Canis lupus familiaris: one gene and its partner. The protein of the gene in region 2 purifies or fractionates together with the protein of the main gene of each other region. This does not show direct contact. Links are inferred from orthologs where the notes say so. Each region holds a gene or a part of one and is shown on either strand. Other genes may lie near its edges.

The links. The genes of interacting proteins can lie anywhere in the genome.
Region 1: the proteins of CAPN2 (region 2) and SPATA5L1 purify together in Homo sapiens (co-immunoprecipitation; 3 studies listed by BioGRID and IntAct, with this or other methods). This does not show direct contact. The link is inferred for Canis lupus familiaris from reciprocal best matches to the Homo sapiens genes CAPN2 and AFG2B.

What each region holds. Positions count from the first base shown.
Region 1 is NC_049251.1:12,069,466-12,075,808, reverse strand, and holds the end of SPATA5L1 (spermatogenesis-associated protein 5-like protein 1), read right to left. Parts: intron 5,178-6,343; coding exon 5,047-5,177; intron 4,147-5,046; coding exon 4,021-4,146; intron 2,613-4,020; coding exon 2,445-2,612; 3' UTR 2,320-2,444; downstream 1-2,319. UniProt on the Homo sapiens protein: ATP-dependent chaperone part of the 55LCC heterohexameric ATPase complex which is chromatin-associated and promotes replisome proteostasis to maintain replication fork progression and genome stability.
Region 2 is NC_049228.1:40,318,121-40,326,124, forward strand, and holds the start of CAPN2 (calpain-2 catalytic subunit), read right to left. Parts: upstream 5,423-8,004; 5' UTR 5,346-5,422; coding exon 5,109-5,345; intron 971-5,108; coding exon 901-970; intron 1-900. UniProt on the Homo sapiens protein: Calcium-regulated non-lysosomal thiol-protease which catalyzes limited proteolysis of substrates involved in cytoskeletal remodeling and signal transduction. Proteolytically cleaves MYOC at 'Arg-226'.

The DNA.
Region 1 (6,343 bases), on a different chromosome or scaffold from region 2:
TAGAGAGAACAGCTGGAACGCTACAGAGAGAAGGGTTTGCGCTTCTAACAAGGTAGGAAGGAGGAAAAAAATAATCCAGTGGGGGAAGCCGCCCCCCTCCCCTCCTCCTCCGCGAGGAGCCGGGCTAAGGCCCAAGGCGAGAGCCTCCTGGACGAGAAAGTCCAGCCTCGGAGAAGCGGGAACTTGAAAAACCCGCGCTGGATCCTTCCGGACGGAAAGGCGCCTCGCGGGGAGCTGGGGCAGAAGCGCAGGAGGGGCAGTGGAGCCTCCGGCCTCCCGGGCCCGGGAGGGAAGTGCGCCCGGGGGAGAGCGCGCCGCACCCCGCGGCCGAGCTGGGCCAAGGGCTGGAGCGCGCCGGTCGGGCCTCGGGGAGCAGCTCGGCGGCGGCTCCCGACGGAGGGGGCTGCCCCTGCTGCTTTCCGCAGCCCCGGCCCGGAGCGGGAGCGCGATTGCAGCAGCGCAGGCCCCGGAGCCCAGGGCGCTGGCGGACAGAGCCGGGGTCCTGCGCTCCCCCTGGGACAGACGAGGCGGGGACGGCCCAGGACCGCGAGGACGCTCCAGCAGCTGGGGCGGCCCCAAGCTGCGCAGGTCGGCGCCCCCGCCCCGGAGCATCCCGGCCAGTGCGGCCCCGGAGACCGCGGTAGTTACTGCGAGGGCTGCTCCGAGCTGCTCCGGGGCTGGGGAGCCGGCCGCCGCCAGTGGGGCTGCTTCTCCTGGGGTCACCGCGTGCCTGGGACCGAGCGGGCCGCCAGGAACAGGGCCTCACGGGGTCAAGGGCTCCCACTGGGCCGCGCACCTGGTAGGGGCGGGGCACCTCCCCCAGGTGCACACACCTGAGAATCAGCACAGCAGCCCCTCCCCCCGAAGACCAGCTGGGAGGACGGGGGAAGAGCAACTTCTTGACCCGGCAGCACTGGAGAGCTCCAGGGGAAGTCGAGGATTTACAGCCTATAGAACCAGAGGGTACCCCTCCTATTTTTTTTCTTCCATTTTCCAGTACAACTCGGTTTTATATCAGACTGTAAATTTCCAATTTTTTTCTTTTCCCACCTTAACTACAATATTTTACCACCTCTTCATTTTTAAGATTCTTCCTTTTTGACTTTCATATTCCTACAAGTCTTAGATATACTTTCCATTTCTAGATTCCCTTCAACATACTCCATTTTGGGAGATATACAAGATATGTTTTTTTGTGTTTTGTTTTCTCTGCCTCATTTTGTTCTACAATGGCATAAGTTAATACCTTCTAAAACATGGCCAGTATACACCCAGAACCAAGTGGTATACCGTGCTGGTTTTCTGTGAGATTCCTCATTCCTATTCTGCCCCCCTCTTTTACCTCCTTTGTTTTGGTGGTCAATGTTGGGGCTCTCTACAAGTATTTCTGGTTTATATAAATTTGGGACTGAGCATCTTCTAACATACAGAACTTAATATACTCAGAACCAAGAGGATCACCCTCTAGGACCCCTCAGGTAGACTACATTCTCCCTCCACTACAACTTTGTCATCAACATCATCTCCCAGTCCTCCCTTTTTTTTTTTTCTTCTCCTTTGGGATTCTTTTATTTTTTACTACTTTGTTTTAAAATATATTTTTCACTTTAGTGGTCCTTTTATTTTGTTCTGATCTGTTTTCAATTTCTGGTCTCTGACCTCGTCAGAATCATCTAGGTTGAAATTTACTTAGGTCATGGTTGATATTCTTGATTCAGTCTGCTCACACAGCTGCTCTGCACTGAGCAAAATGACTAGAAAGAAGAACTCACCACAAAAGAAGAATCAGAAACAGTACTCTGCCACAGAGTTACAAAATTTAGATTACAATTCGATGTCAGAAAGTCAATTCAGAAGCACAATTATAAAACTACTGGTGGCTCTGGCAAAAAGCATAAAGAATCGAGAGACTTCATGACTGCAGAATTTAGATCTAATCAGGCCAAAATTAAAAAATCAATTAAATGAGATGCAATCCAAACTGGAGGTCCTAACGATGAGGGTCATTGAAGTAGAAGAAAGAGTGAGCAAATAGAAGACAAGTTGATGGCAAAGAGGAAGCTGAGGAAAAAAAGAAGAAAACCAATTAAAAGACCACGAGGAAAGGTTAAAGGAAATAAATGATAGTCTCATAAGGAAAAATCTATGTAAAATTGGGGTTCCAGAGAGCGCTGAGAGGGACAGAAGGCCAGAAAACATATTTGATCAAATAAATAAAAAATCTTAAAAAAAAACACATATATTTTGTTCCTAAATTATGGTATTTTAATATATAATATATATTTAATATATATTTTTAGAAATAAGATGAGCTTTAGCTTATCTGGTACAAATTCTTTTATTTACAGGAAATAACACACAAACTCTAAAAGTGCAAAATTGCAAAAACTATAGGGCAATTTAACAGTTCAATTAATCTGTGAGCAGAGATGTAACATTAATTTTTAAATATCTTCTAAGTTAGAAAATCCTTGTTTCTGAAATAAGTTTTCATACAAAGTCAAGTCCTCAGGACTTAAGGATGGTTTCACAGTCTTAAGTGATTTTAGAAAGTGCTCTTGTTTCACTGTGGTTGCTTCTAATCCATTTTCTTGCAGAGCCAGCAAGGCAGCCTATAAGACACAAACAGGAGGAAATAATGAATGTGCTTCACTTTTTTTTTTTTTTTTTTTGAACAATTTGTGGTAATACTTTAAAATCCGGGGTAAAAACCTCAGTCCCACTTCTTAGAATTCCAATATTCATGACACTGAAAACACTAAAAAGTTAAATAAAGCGATTAAAAGTTATCTTAATAGACCATCATCTCTTCTTAAATGGGAAAAAAGAAAAAGCAAGTTGCAGCATAATGCGTACACTATGAGTCCATATACATATTTAAAGATGAGAGACTATCTTTCTGACCTCAGAATAGGAGTTTTTAAACAGAACAGAGCACTGATCCTAAAGGAAAAGATCAAAAACACCTACTCTGTGACCCAGCAATTCTCTTGGTAGGTATATACATATATAAAATAGACTTATCTATACATGTACTAACAGACATAACAAGATTATTCACAGCAGCATAATTTGTAACAAAAAATAGTAACCCGAATGTTCAAAAAAATGAATAAATGCAGTATATTCATAACCTAGAATATTACAAAGTGATAGAAATGCACAAACTACCGCTATAGGCAAAACCACAGATGAAGTTCAAAACATAATCCTGAGTTAAAGCAGATATAAAAATATACTGTACAGTCCTATTTATATAAAGTTCCAAAGCAAGCAAAACTAATCTCCAGTGTTGGAAGTCAGGAGAGTGGTTCCCTTTTGGGAGGGAGATTGGGAAAGCCCCAAGAGAAGCTTCTGGGGTGTTGATAATAATCCCTTTCCTGATAGTTATAAAAGTGTTCATTTTATGTTAATTCAATGAACTATATCCTTATGATCTGTGCATTTTTCTGAATAGTACATTTTTTTAAAGATTTTATTTGAGAGAGAGAGAACACAGGGGCAGAGAGAGAGGGAGAAGCAGGCTCCCCCTTGATCCCCTGAGACCTGAGCCAAAGGCAGACACTTAACCGACTGAGCCAACCAGGCACCCCTATCTGAAGAGTACCTATAATAAAATATAATATATAATAAAAGTTTGTGGAAAGGGAAACACCTAGCTTCTTTTGCTCTCAAAGTCTAAATCCCTTAAAGTGGCTTATAAAGACCTGTGTGATCTGGCCATTATCCAGCTCTTCAATGTCATGTTCTCTCTTACTTCAGTCGCCCGCGGTCTGGGTCAGTGTCCTTCACAAGTGCTCCCATAATACCCTAAACTTCCTGATTCACTACACATTATCAATTGTCAATTCAGTATTACAATTTCCCTCTTTGCAACCTGCCATGAACCTATAAGCTCGAGTAGGGTAGGGTATGGTAGGAAAGGGTAGGGAAGGGTAGGGAAGGATAGGGAAGGGTAGAGAAGATCTGAATAAATGAAGAAATGTTGTCAACCATATGTTCCTTCGCTAATTAACTTACTTCTTTGCAAAGATTTCCAAGATCAGCACCAGAGAAAAAACAGGTTTCTGCTGCTATGTTTTCTAAGGAAACATCAGGCCCCATTGGCATATTTTTTGTACAGACTTTCAAAATAGAAAGCCTGCCCTGAAAAAAAAAAATTAAAATGTTTATAATCTTATTATAACATTTATGTTTGACACAAAGCTGTATTAAAACATTTTAATATGTTTCCTGTCATACTACAGCTGTGTATATATTTATTTAAATAAATAATAATAACTTCTGAAGAGGTAAGAAGAGTAACTCATCAATGGTTCATATGATAATGGTAAAAATAATGACATGATAAACTTTTAATACTTTTATAATAATTTTTAAAATAGCCAACTATAGGTACATTTAAGAGACACATGAGTCCTCATTTTGGGTATAAATAGTGTTATCAGACATGGTTATAGTGTTATCAGACATGGTTTAAGAAGCAAAAACATGAATTATCTGGATACAACTTAAAAATAGACATTTAATTTTTTTTTTTCATTTAGGAAGGATGGAAAAAATTTGTTGACTTTAACCATTCCTTGCTTGTAGCTGTGGATGTTAAAAGGGCAAAGATTTACTGATTCTCTGACTATGGAAACTGTGTAATCTCTCTAATTTCAGACTTTCCTACTATAAAATAAGAATACTGATAAAAATAATCTCCAACTGTTTTTAATACTTTAAGATTCCTCCATTCTAGTTGTAAAATAATGTTTGAGTAGATGTAACAAGCTCAGTATTTTGAGTCTGCCTCAGCAATGAAAAATATAATTATTTTTAGGCTTATGTTTCTCTGAAAATAGGCCTAGAGTATCCAGCAAAAGCAGATCAAAATTATGTGTTTATGAAGGGCTACCAGGCAAAGAAGAATGAGAACCCAGTGTAAGTCATATACCATGTACGTATATATCCAGTTTGGGATTCAATTCTGCTAGGCTCCTTAGAGCTCAGACATTGATGTGTTAAGAATCCTCACATACACTAAACATGTGCAATGATTACCTTTTCATCTGGAGGTGGAATATAAATAATCTTATCTAATCTTCCAGGTCGTAACAAGGCATCATCTAATACATCAGGTCTATTTGTTGCAGCAACAATCATGACATTTCTGTTAAAAACTTCTTGAAACTCTGAGAGAAAACACACAACATAATTTCAGTAAGCTGTCAATTATTAAATTTTTAAGAAATTATAAACCAGAATGTTCAGTTATTTTTAAATGAGTATATCCTTTTCTTAGGACCAGAATGCTTATACCTCCTATCTTTTTTTTTTTTTTTTCTTTAAGACCATCTTTTAAGATTTTATTTATTTATTCAGGAGACTGAGGGAAAAAAGAGGCAGAGACACAGGCAGAGGGAGAAGCAGGCTCCATGCAGGGAGCCTGACGTGGGACTTGATCCCAGGTATTCAGGATCAGGCCCTGGGCTGAAGGCAGGTGCTAAACCGCTGAGCCACCCGGGCTGCCCCTAGACCATCTTTTTGATATCAAGGTATGCTAAAACAAATTATTAGTCAAAGAACTACTTTGTGTGGTGAAGGGACTAGCTAATCCTGAGGGACATCTCTCCATGTAAGAACCAAAGGAAAGCCTTATACCACAGCAGAGAATACCTATTGAACACACCTGAGCCCCAGTGAATGATTATAACCTAAGTGGATGACATGAAAGAACAAAGCATGTGACTTTGGAGATGGAGATGTATGGCTATGAACCACACTGGCTCTAATATCTTGGATGAGAGAGATTTACTTTTTATTTATTTTTCTTTCTAGAGGCAGAAATATACAACATAAGCTGCAGATGTGTAAATCCTAGATGAAGATAAGAAATACAGAAAAGCAGCCAGGGCAAGGCCTTTTACATGCTTGCTAAGCATTCAAAATGGTCTATTGAACTCTCAACAAACAGAAGTTCAGGATGGCTTCTAGGTGAATTCTACCAAACATTTAAAGAAGAGTTAATACCTATTCTCAAACTATTCAAAAAAATAGAAGTGGAAGGAAAACTTCCAAATTCATTCTATGAGGCCAGCACTACTTTATATCAAAACCAGATAAAGACATGGTGAAAAAAGAGAACAGCCAATATCTCTGATGAATATAGATGTAAAAAAATATATATATATAGATGCCAAAAATACTCAACAAAGTACTAGCAAATCAAATGCAACAATACAATAAAATAATCATTCACTACGATCAAAAAGGGTTCATTCCTGGTATGCAAGGGTGGTTCAATATTTACAGATCAATCAACATGATATATCAGTAAGAGAAAGGACAAAACCATGTG
Region 2 (8,004 bases):
ATCATCACAGCACCATAGAGATGTCGCCATCATAGTGTCTGGCACACAGTATTTGCTCAATAAATATTAGCTGTTATTATTCTGAGTATCGGAACCTGTGCAAAGCCAGGAAAGGAAGTCCGATTCCAGGTGATCGATTTTGTTACTGGTGGACTAGTCTGGGGAACAAAGTGAAGCTGATGGCAGGACACACATCTCTGGTTTATGGGAGCAGATGATTTACTCCAGGGGCCACAGGCTCATATTTATCTCAAGTGGGTTCTACGAGCGTCGTACTTAAGGGTTCCAGGCCCACTGCTAAGACTTCACAGAAGCCCTGGGAGATTTCACAGTAAAGCCAGAAACCCTGCAGGTCCAGTCTCAGCGGCACTGTGTCCAGGAGGAGATAGGAGCTCGGCTGCAGATGCCCACGGTTCAGCCTCCCTCATACGTCTTGTTTAAATGAACATCACAAGCACCTTTGCGATGAGAAGCACTGCTCCCTGCTGTTGTGATACCATGGTGAGCTTGTCTTGCAAACACTGACAACCTGGTGCTCTGACTTCCGCTTAGCAGCGGGCGCAGAGACTTTCCTCTTCCCTCCCACTGAGTCACCATCCCTGGGCCCCGGAGCCCCAGAGAACAGAGGTGTCAGTGCCGTCACTGGCCTGGGGAGTTCCTCTGCCCTGGCCCTCAGCCCACAGACTATCACAGGCTGCTCCCAACTCTGCCCCCAGGAGCTTCCTAGAGCAAGGGGTGGCCGGAATCCAGAAGCCCCTCCACCCTCCACCACCAGCTCAGGGGGGTGGGGGGAAAGGGGGCCCTCAGGGGAGCAGAAATCCCAGGAAGCTTCTGGAATTGGAAATCATCAGGCTGCCTGGGAGGGAGGAAGGCAAGCCCATTTCAGGTGCTGTCACTTACCCAGGGCTCCCTGGCAGATGTCCGTGCGGGTAGCGCCTCCAACAATGAACTGCGGATCATCGCAGATCTCCTGGGAATGAAACCCACTGTCAACCACCAGGCGCGGGCTTGTGTGGTTAGGATACCTCAGCTCCCAGGAGGTACACCAGATGCCTTCTCCCTGCCCCTGCCCCCTGGGGAAGGCAGTGCAGTTACAGGCTGCCATGGGGTCCTGCTTGCACCTTGCTCCGTGGAGCCCCAACGCCCCGCACTGCTTGCAGCCTACATCATTTCACTGCTATCTGAAGCCACAGAGGCATGGAGCTGCCTCTCCACCAGGTGTGTGATCCTTTCACCCCTGGGGCCGCCCCCTCAGCCCCTCTCCAGTCCTGCACATCAGCTGTTTTGTCTTCGTGGGATTCCTTTCCCACCCTGATCTCTCACCTCCTACCATAGTTCAAGACTCATTGCCACCTCCTCCAGGAAGCCCTCCTTCACAGCCCAGCCGTTGGTCATCTCTGGGATTCTGAGCCCCAGAACACTTGGACTCTGCACCATCTAGAGGTGCTGGTGAGTGAGGTATGCCTTCTGAATCGGTCCACCGGGCCAGGATACTGGCAGCATCTGTGCTTGGGAACCTGCTGCAGAGCCAGGCTGCGCGTGGTGCTTTATGTCATGGAACCCTCCCAGGAACACAGATGGGTACTGTCTCCATTTTATGGGAGAAGAAATAGGCCAAGGGATAGAAGATGTGAAACAATGTGTCCATGGGGAGCTGACCCTAAGTCACAGACAGCGGCGCGGGATTTGCGCTCACTGGCCTAGAGCGCGTACTCTTTCTGCTCCTGCACTGCCTCCAACTGATGAGTAACAAAACCCTAAGGGTGTCACAAGCAGCCTGCTGGCGGCCAACAGTGAACAATTCTGGCCCCTTCCACCACCCTCTCTCTCTGTTTCCTGATTTTGAAGCCACAGAGGAAGCCAGGCATAAATCTGGGCTTTCATCAGCTCTGGTGACCTCAGTTTGCAGGTGCTCCACCCCACACCCCGCGGTGTTCCCCTCTCGGGCAAGCAAAAGCCCTTCCCGGGTGGGGCCTGCCTCTGGCCTAGACCCCAGCCCTGGGCCCCGGCCCTGGCCCTGCACCTCAATCTACAGCAGAGCACATTCCTTTCAGGCTTCGCACTGTGCCTTCCCTGCTCAGGTTGCTCTGTTTTGGGGATAACGGGACAATGAGAATGTGTTTCTGCTGAGCAACTGAGCCTGCCAGCCAACCACCCATGCAGCGTTTTGACGGACCCACTGGGCTTGGTGCCGAGAACCCAAGAACATGCTGCCGTTCCTCCTTGTGCCAGGCTCATCCCCCAGCAGGATTTTCCACTGGTTCAGAAACCTTCCCGCACCTTGGGCAGCCTCTTCAAAGAAGGCAAAGCCCAGACTGGCCCTCTGAGGCCTGCACACAAGCCTGCACACATCCAGTAAACAGGGATGTGATGGGTTCAGGGAAGAGGGTGAGCACCTGGGCTCTGGGTTCTGGCAATGGGGTCTGAGCCCTGGCTCTGCCACTTGAACAGGTTTTAGCCCCGGGCAAGTCCCTCCACCTCTCTTGGCCTTGGTTTCTCAACTGTAGTATGGGGATGGTGTGACAAGTGTACCGACCACAGGGTGTTCTGGAGGTTCAGTGAGATGACCGTGGAGGTGGCTTTGGTAAGCACTCCACGGAAATCACCTGTTACCATAGTCACTGACAAACAAGGGGATACTAGTCCCTGAACCCAGAGGCAGGAGACGCAGGGTTGAGGCTGAACAAGTGAGTCACCACAGAGGTCTGGGCTCTCAGGGGACACTAGGACTCACATGGCCCGCCCCTGCCACCCCTGCCTGCCTCTGCTGCCCCTGCCCTCTCCCTGCACCCCTGCCAGAGTGAGACTGCGCCTTCCAGGGACTCTGGTCCCTTCTCAGTCCCAGGGCCAGTCAGCAGCAGCAGCAGCAGCAGTGAGATCAGGAAACACCTCTCTGGGGAGGAGCCAGCCCAGCTTGCCCACCCCTTGCTCTCCCTCCTCAGGACCCTGTTTCACCAACTCCTCCTGTCTGCCCGGCTTTCACCCCTTCCTCCCTGTTGACTCAACTCATGACACACCCCACAGCCTCTCAAACCCCACAGCCCTATCCACCACTCCCTGTCTCTTTTTAGACAGTCTTCTGAAAGAGATGATACTCGTCCCTTTGGGTCCCTCACTGTGGAGTCCACAGCATAGAGCAGTTTGACTCGTCACCACCTTCCCATGGTGGATCCATGAAAGTCTTGTGTCCAAATCTGGGGACATTGTGTTTCCCTTCCTGGACCCCAAGCACAGCAGTGTCCGGGAGGGTAGGACGGAGGCCGAGGGCAGCCATGAGCCGGGGGCTCTGTACACCGACAGGCTGGACAGAGTTCTGGCTCCTCCCTGGACACCTGTGTGAGCAAACATTTAGCTTCCGGGAACCTCCATTCCTCCACAGTGGAGTGGGAATGTAACAGCCTCCCCGCGTCCCCCTGACACTTGTACAGCTCACAGCATCTCCCCCTAAGCAGGGGTGGAAACCCTCCTGGTATTTCCAACTGTTGGATGACCTGCCTCCCGTCACCAGCCCTAAAGTCTAAGGAGGCAAAAACGAGACACACCATGCCTGGCACATAGTAAGTGTTCAGTAAGTGCTTATTTAGTAAATGAAAGAACAAGGGACAGAGTGTGCAAATTCACTCTAAGCTGTGAGGCGCTGTGCTCATGTCAGGTGAATACGCTCTCTCATCTGTCACCTTCACAACCACAACTTCCCTTAGGTGCACTACGACCTGCTGTCATTCATTCCGTTGTTCCACGGAGAATCACTGTTGTTCTGTTCACCGATGAGCCCAACACTGAAGACAGCACCTGGCATATAACAGACGCTCAGTACACACTGCTGGACGAGGTGGAACTGGCCTCTGGGGACACACTGGTGACTGATACATAGGGCCCAGCAGTTCAGGGAGAAGGACAGATAATACCTAACTATGTCTATAAGCTGCAAAAACACTTGAGGAAAGATAGCAGGGCTCTGTGAGGAATCGTAAAAGATAAAGAATAATAAATGAGGAAAATATTTAGCAACACCTCTCCTTTTAGATGAAGAAATGGAAGTAGAAAGGCTAAAAAGCGGAGGCAGGGCCACTCAGTAGGTTAGCAAGGAATGAACTCAAGTGCTGGGGACCCCGCCGAGGGCATTTCTACTGCGCCTGCTGCCTACAGGCTGGATGTAGGGGAACAGGTGGCCCAGGCGGTCCAGAGGCATGGACAAGGGGCAGCAATCCTACGCTCAGGTCAGGAATCGAGAGGCTGGGTTCCCAGGAAGCCTTGTCCAGGTTTGGTGGGGGAAGCCGGTGAAGTGTCAGGGGGAGCCAGCAGTGGTTCACAACAGGAAGAGGGAGTAAGGTGTCCAAGGCCTGTCCCGGCCCGGTGTGGGGGTGGACAGGGCAAGGGAGCTTGGAGGGGGCCCCCGAGGCTCCCCAGGGAGGATGGTGGCCCAGCGCAGTGAGGAGGAGCATCTGCCTCAGTGCTGCATCACCCCTGTCCTTGTTAATCATCAGGGCAAGTAAGCGGATGTCTGGCCGACTCCCAAGTGGAAAAATAAACCAGAAACTCTGATTGGGTCAATGTAACCACGACCGCAGGAGAGATCCTTCCTCACAAAAGGCCCAGAATGCGGATTTCCCTCCTCCCTGAGGCAGACGCAAGCCGAGTTGCAGCCTGACTTTTCCTGGTCAGACACTGCCTCCCCCTCCTTTCCCCGCGGACCCTCCTCCCTACCATGTCCCCCCCCCGGAGTCCAAGCAGCTTCCCCCGGGTCCCCCGCGTGGGGTGGAGGGCGGCTCCCCTGGCGGGCCTGCTATGGGCCCCGGCCCCGGCCCCGGAGGGCAGGGCGCGCCGGGCCGCCCCGGGAAGCGCGGGGGCAGGGAGGGGCCGGGCCTGCGCTGCGGACCGGCTAACGGGGAGGAGCGCGCTCTCGGGGCCCTCCGCGACCTGGGTGTGCTCCGCCCGCCAGGGGCCCGGCCCCGCACCCCGCGCCCCCACCCGGTTCCCAGCACCCCCACCCACGCCCGCCCCGTTCCCCGCGCCCCCTCACCCCCCCGCCCCCACCCCGTTCCCCGCAGCCCCCTCCCGGCTCGCCCGCCCGCCCCGCCCCCCGGGCCCCCCGCACCTCCCCCTACCGTGGGCCGCTTCCACTCGATGCCCTGGGTCTTGCTGGAGTAGGGCCCCAGCTCCTTGAAGCCCAGGGAGGAGGGGATGGCCGGGAAGGAGGGGTCCTGGAAGAGCGCCCCGGCCTCCAGGCACTCGTCCCGCAGCGCCTCGTAGTCCTGGTTGAGGTACTTGATGGCCCGTTCGTGCGAGCCCAGCCCCTCGGCTGCCTCTCGGTCCCTCACCAGCTTGGCCGCGATGCCGGCCATGGCTCGGGGGCGCTGCGGGGCGCGGCGAGCGGGGCCCGGGCGGCAGGGGCGCGGCCTGGTCGGGCGAGCGGCGGCGGGACTGCGGTCGGCGGCGCTGCAGGCGGTGCCCCCTCCCGGCGGGGGCGGGGCCTCGGGGGGGCGGGGCCTCCTGCTGGGGCGGGGCCTCCTGCTGGGGGCGGGGCCTGGGGCCTGGGGCCGCGGGGCGGGGAGGAGCGGCCAGGTCCCCTCGGCGGCCCCCGGGGCAGGGAGGTCCCTGACCTCGATCCGCCGCCACCACCTAGGCCCCAGCGCTGTGGCCACGGCTCCGCAGCCGGTCTCTCGTTTAAGGCCCGCGGCAACCCCAGCACAGGGGGCCCCGCGCTCCCGTGCCCCGCTGTGCCCTCCTGCAGCTGCCGGCCGCGGGCCTCGGAGAGCTGGGGGGACGCAGGGTTCCGGGCCTCGGGGCCTGCCCTCGTCACACGCTGCAGGTCACTGCCGGCTGGCAATCAAAAATACATCCTCGCCGTTCCATTTGAATTTCAGGGTAGCACCAATGTTTTCTCGGCGTTAAGTATGTCCCAGATTTTGCAGGGGTGGGTTGTGGGGCGCCTGGCCGGGTCAGTAGGTGCAGCGCGACCCGTGCTCTTGGCGTCAGGAGCCCCAGGTTGGAGGTGGAGATGACCAGAAAGGTCTTGCTGGTTACCTGAAACTCACCTTGGAGGGAGGCCTGAGTGACAGGGGCAGAGTGTTGGGGGGGAGCTTCCCCACTCCAGCACCCAGGCGGGGTCCCACCCACTGCTAGTGCACCCCCCCTTCAGGGGGAAACGGGGTGAATTTGCCCCCTGCACCTGGCCCGAGGGGACACTGGGCTTGTCTGGAAGACAATTTTCATTGTCAGGACTGTAGATGGGGGCCACTGCCCTCTCCTGGGTAGCAGGGATGCTCCTAAACTTCTTACTGCCTGAGACAGCTTCCACAGCAAGTGATCTGACCCAAAATATCAGCAATGCTGAGAATCCTGGATTAGAGCCCTTCTTCCCAGCTTGCTGGGTAGTAGCCTTTCACTGTTTGAGCTGCTGTGGATAGCCAGACAGTACACTGTAGAGACCCAAACTCATCCTGACCCGTGGAGGGGTTTCCCCAAGTGGGGGAGGTCAGTTGAGGCCATCTGCACATTCATTTAGATAGTCTTCATTTCAGGACGCCTGGGTGGCTCAGCAGTTGACCATCTGCCTTCAGCCCAGGGCGTGATCCTGGGGTCCCACAGACAAGTCCTGCGTCAGGCTCCCTGCATGGGGCCTGCTTCTCCCTCTGCCTGTGTCTCTGCCTCTCTCTGTGTCTCTCATGAATGAATAAGTAAATTCTTAAAAAAACATGTCTTCATTTCACATAAACTTGTGTTTCTAGGACTTTCCCTTTGAACCAGATGCAGCATCTGCTCAGTTGCCTTATTTAATTAATGAGTTAAATGAAATCTTTGACGTGTGTTCATTTTATAACTAGATGAGAGTCGGTCATAATTTGATTTTTTAAATTCTCTTTTAGCCTGAAGAGTAGGAAGAACAGATAGTTGATCTTGAAGCATAGTTTGAGATTTGAGCACTTAGAATTTGCCCACCAGTCAATGACCTGTCAGGAGACACTTGAACGTCTTTGGAATTAAAAAAAAAGAAAAGAAAAGAAAAAGAAAAAGATGTCCTGGGTGTTCTCTGCAGTGTTAAGTGAAGCCTGAGCAAACTTGCAGGTGTGAGGAGAGCTTGTGGTTGTGCACTTTGTAGTCTTCAAACTAGTTACCACTCTGTAGTTTTAGGAAATTGATAGTAATGCTAATAACTCTTGTCCATGTATATGCAAATAGACTTTCCCTGGTGCAAGGGGGACCCCACAGCCTCCCCACTCCTGCTTTACATCTATTCACAGACCTAAATTCTGCATTTCTAACCAGCTGCTCTTTTAAATTCTCCTTTTAACTAGATTTTTTAAAGATTTTATTTATTTATTCATGAGAGACAGAGAGAGAGAGAGGCAGAGACACAGGCAGAGGGAGAAGCAGGCTCCATGCAGGGAGCCCAATGTGGGACTCCATCCCGATCCCGGGTCCCCAGGATCACGCCCTGGGCTGAAGGCGGCGCTAAACTCCTGAGCCACCAGGGCTGCCCTAACTATTTTAAAATAAAAAATACCTACTGACTCCCTCCTTCATTAATGAGTTAAGTAAAATCTTGCACATATGTTCACCTTATATTTGAATGAGAGTCATTATTTTACTTTTTTAGGAAAGTAACTTTCGGTGTCTTTTTGTGCAGCAGATGCTAACTTCAAGTGTTTTGGGGGTTGCCATGGAGAATAGGATGTGTATTCATTCTGTGTTGCTCCGCAGAGGAAACAAGGGCCAGCAATGGGCTTCATGGGGTGCAGGTTTTAATTTAACAAAAAATGCTCACACTGGCCCGCATTGTGGCACTGAAAGTATAGCCCTGTTGGTGTGCTCCCGAGGTTGAGGCTTCCGATTTTGCTGAGCACCACCTGCAAGCATATTAAAAACACAGCTTCCAGGCCTGCACACCCAGGTGCCAATTCACTAAGAAGTCTCTGACGATCGAGGACCAACAGGGTTGGGGCTGTAAGGCCCAAGGGCAGGCCACCCTAAATTGTGCCCCTTCGGCATAGTGATTATTTT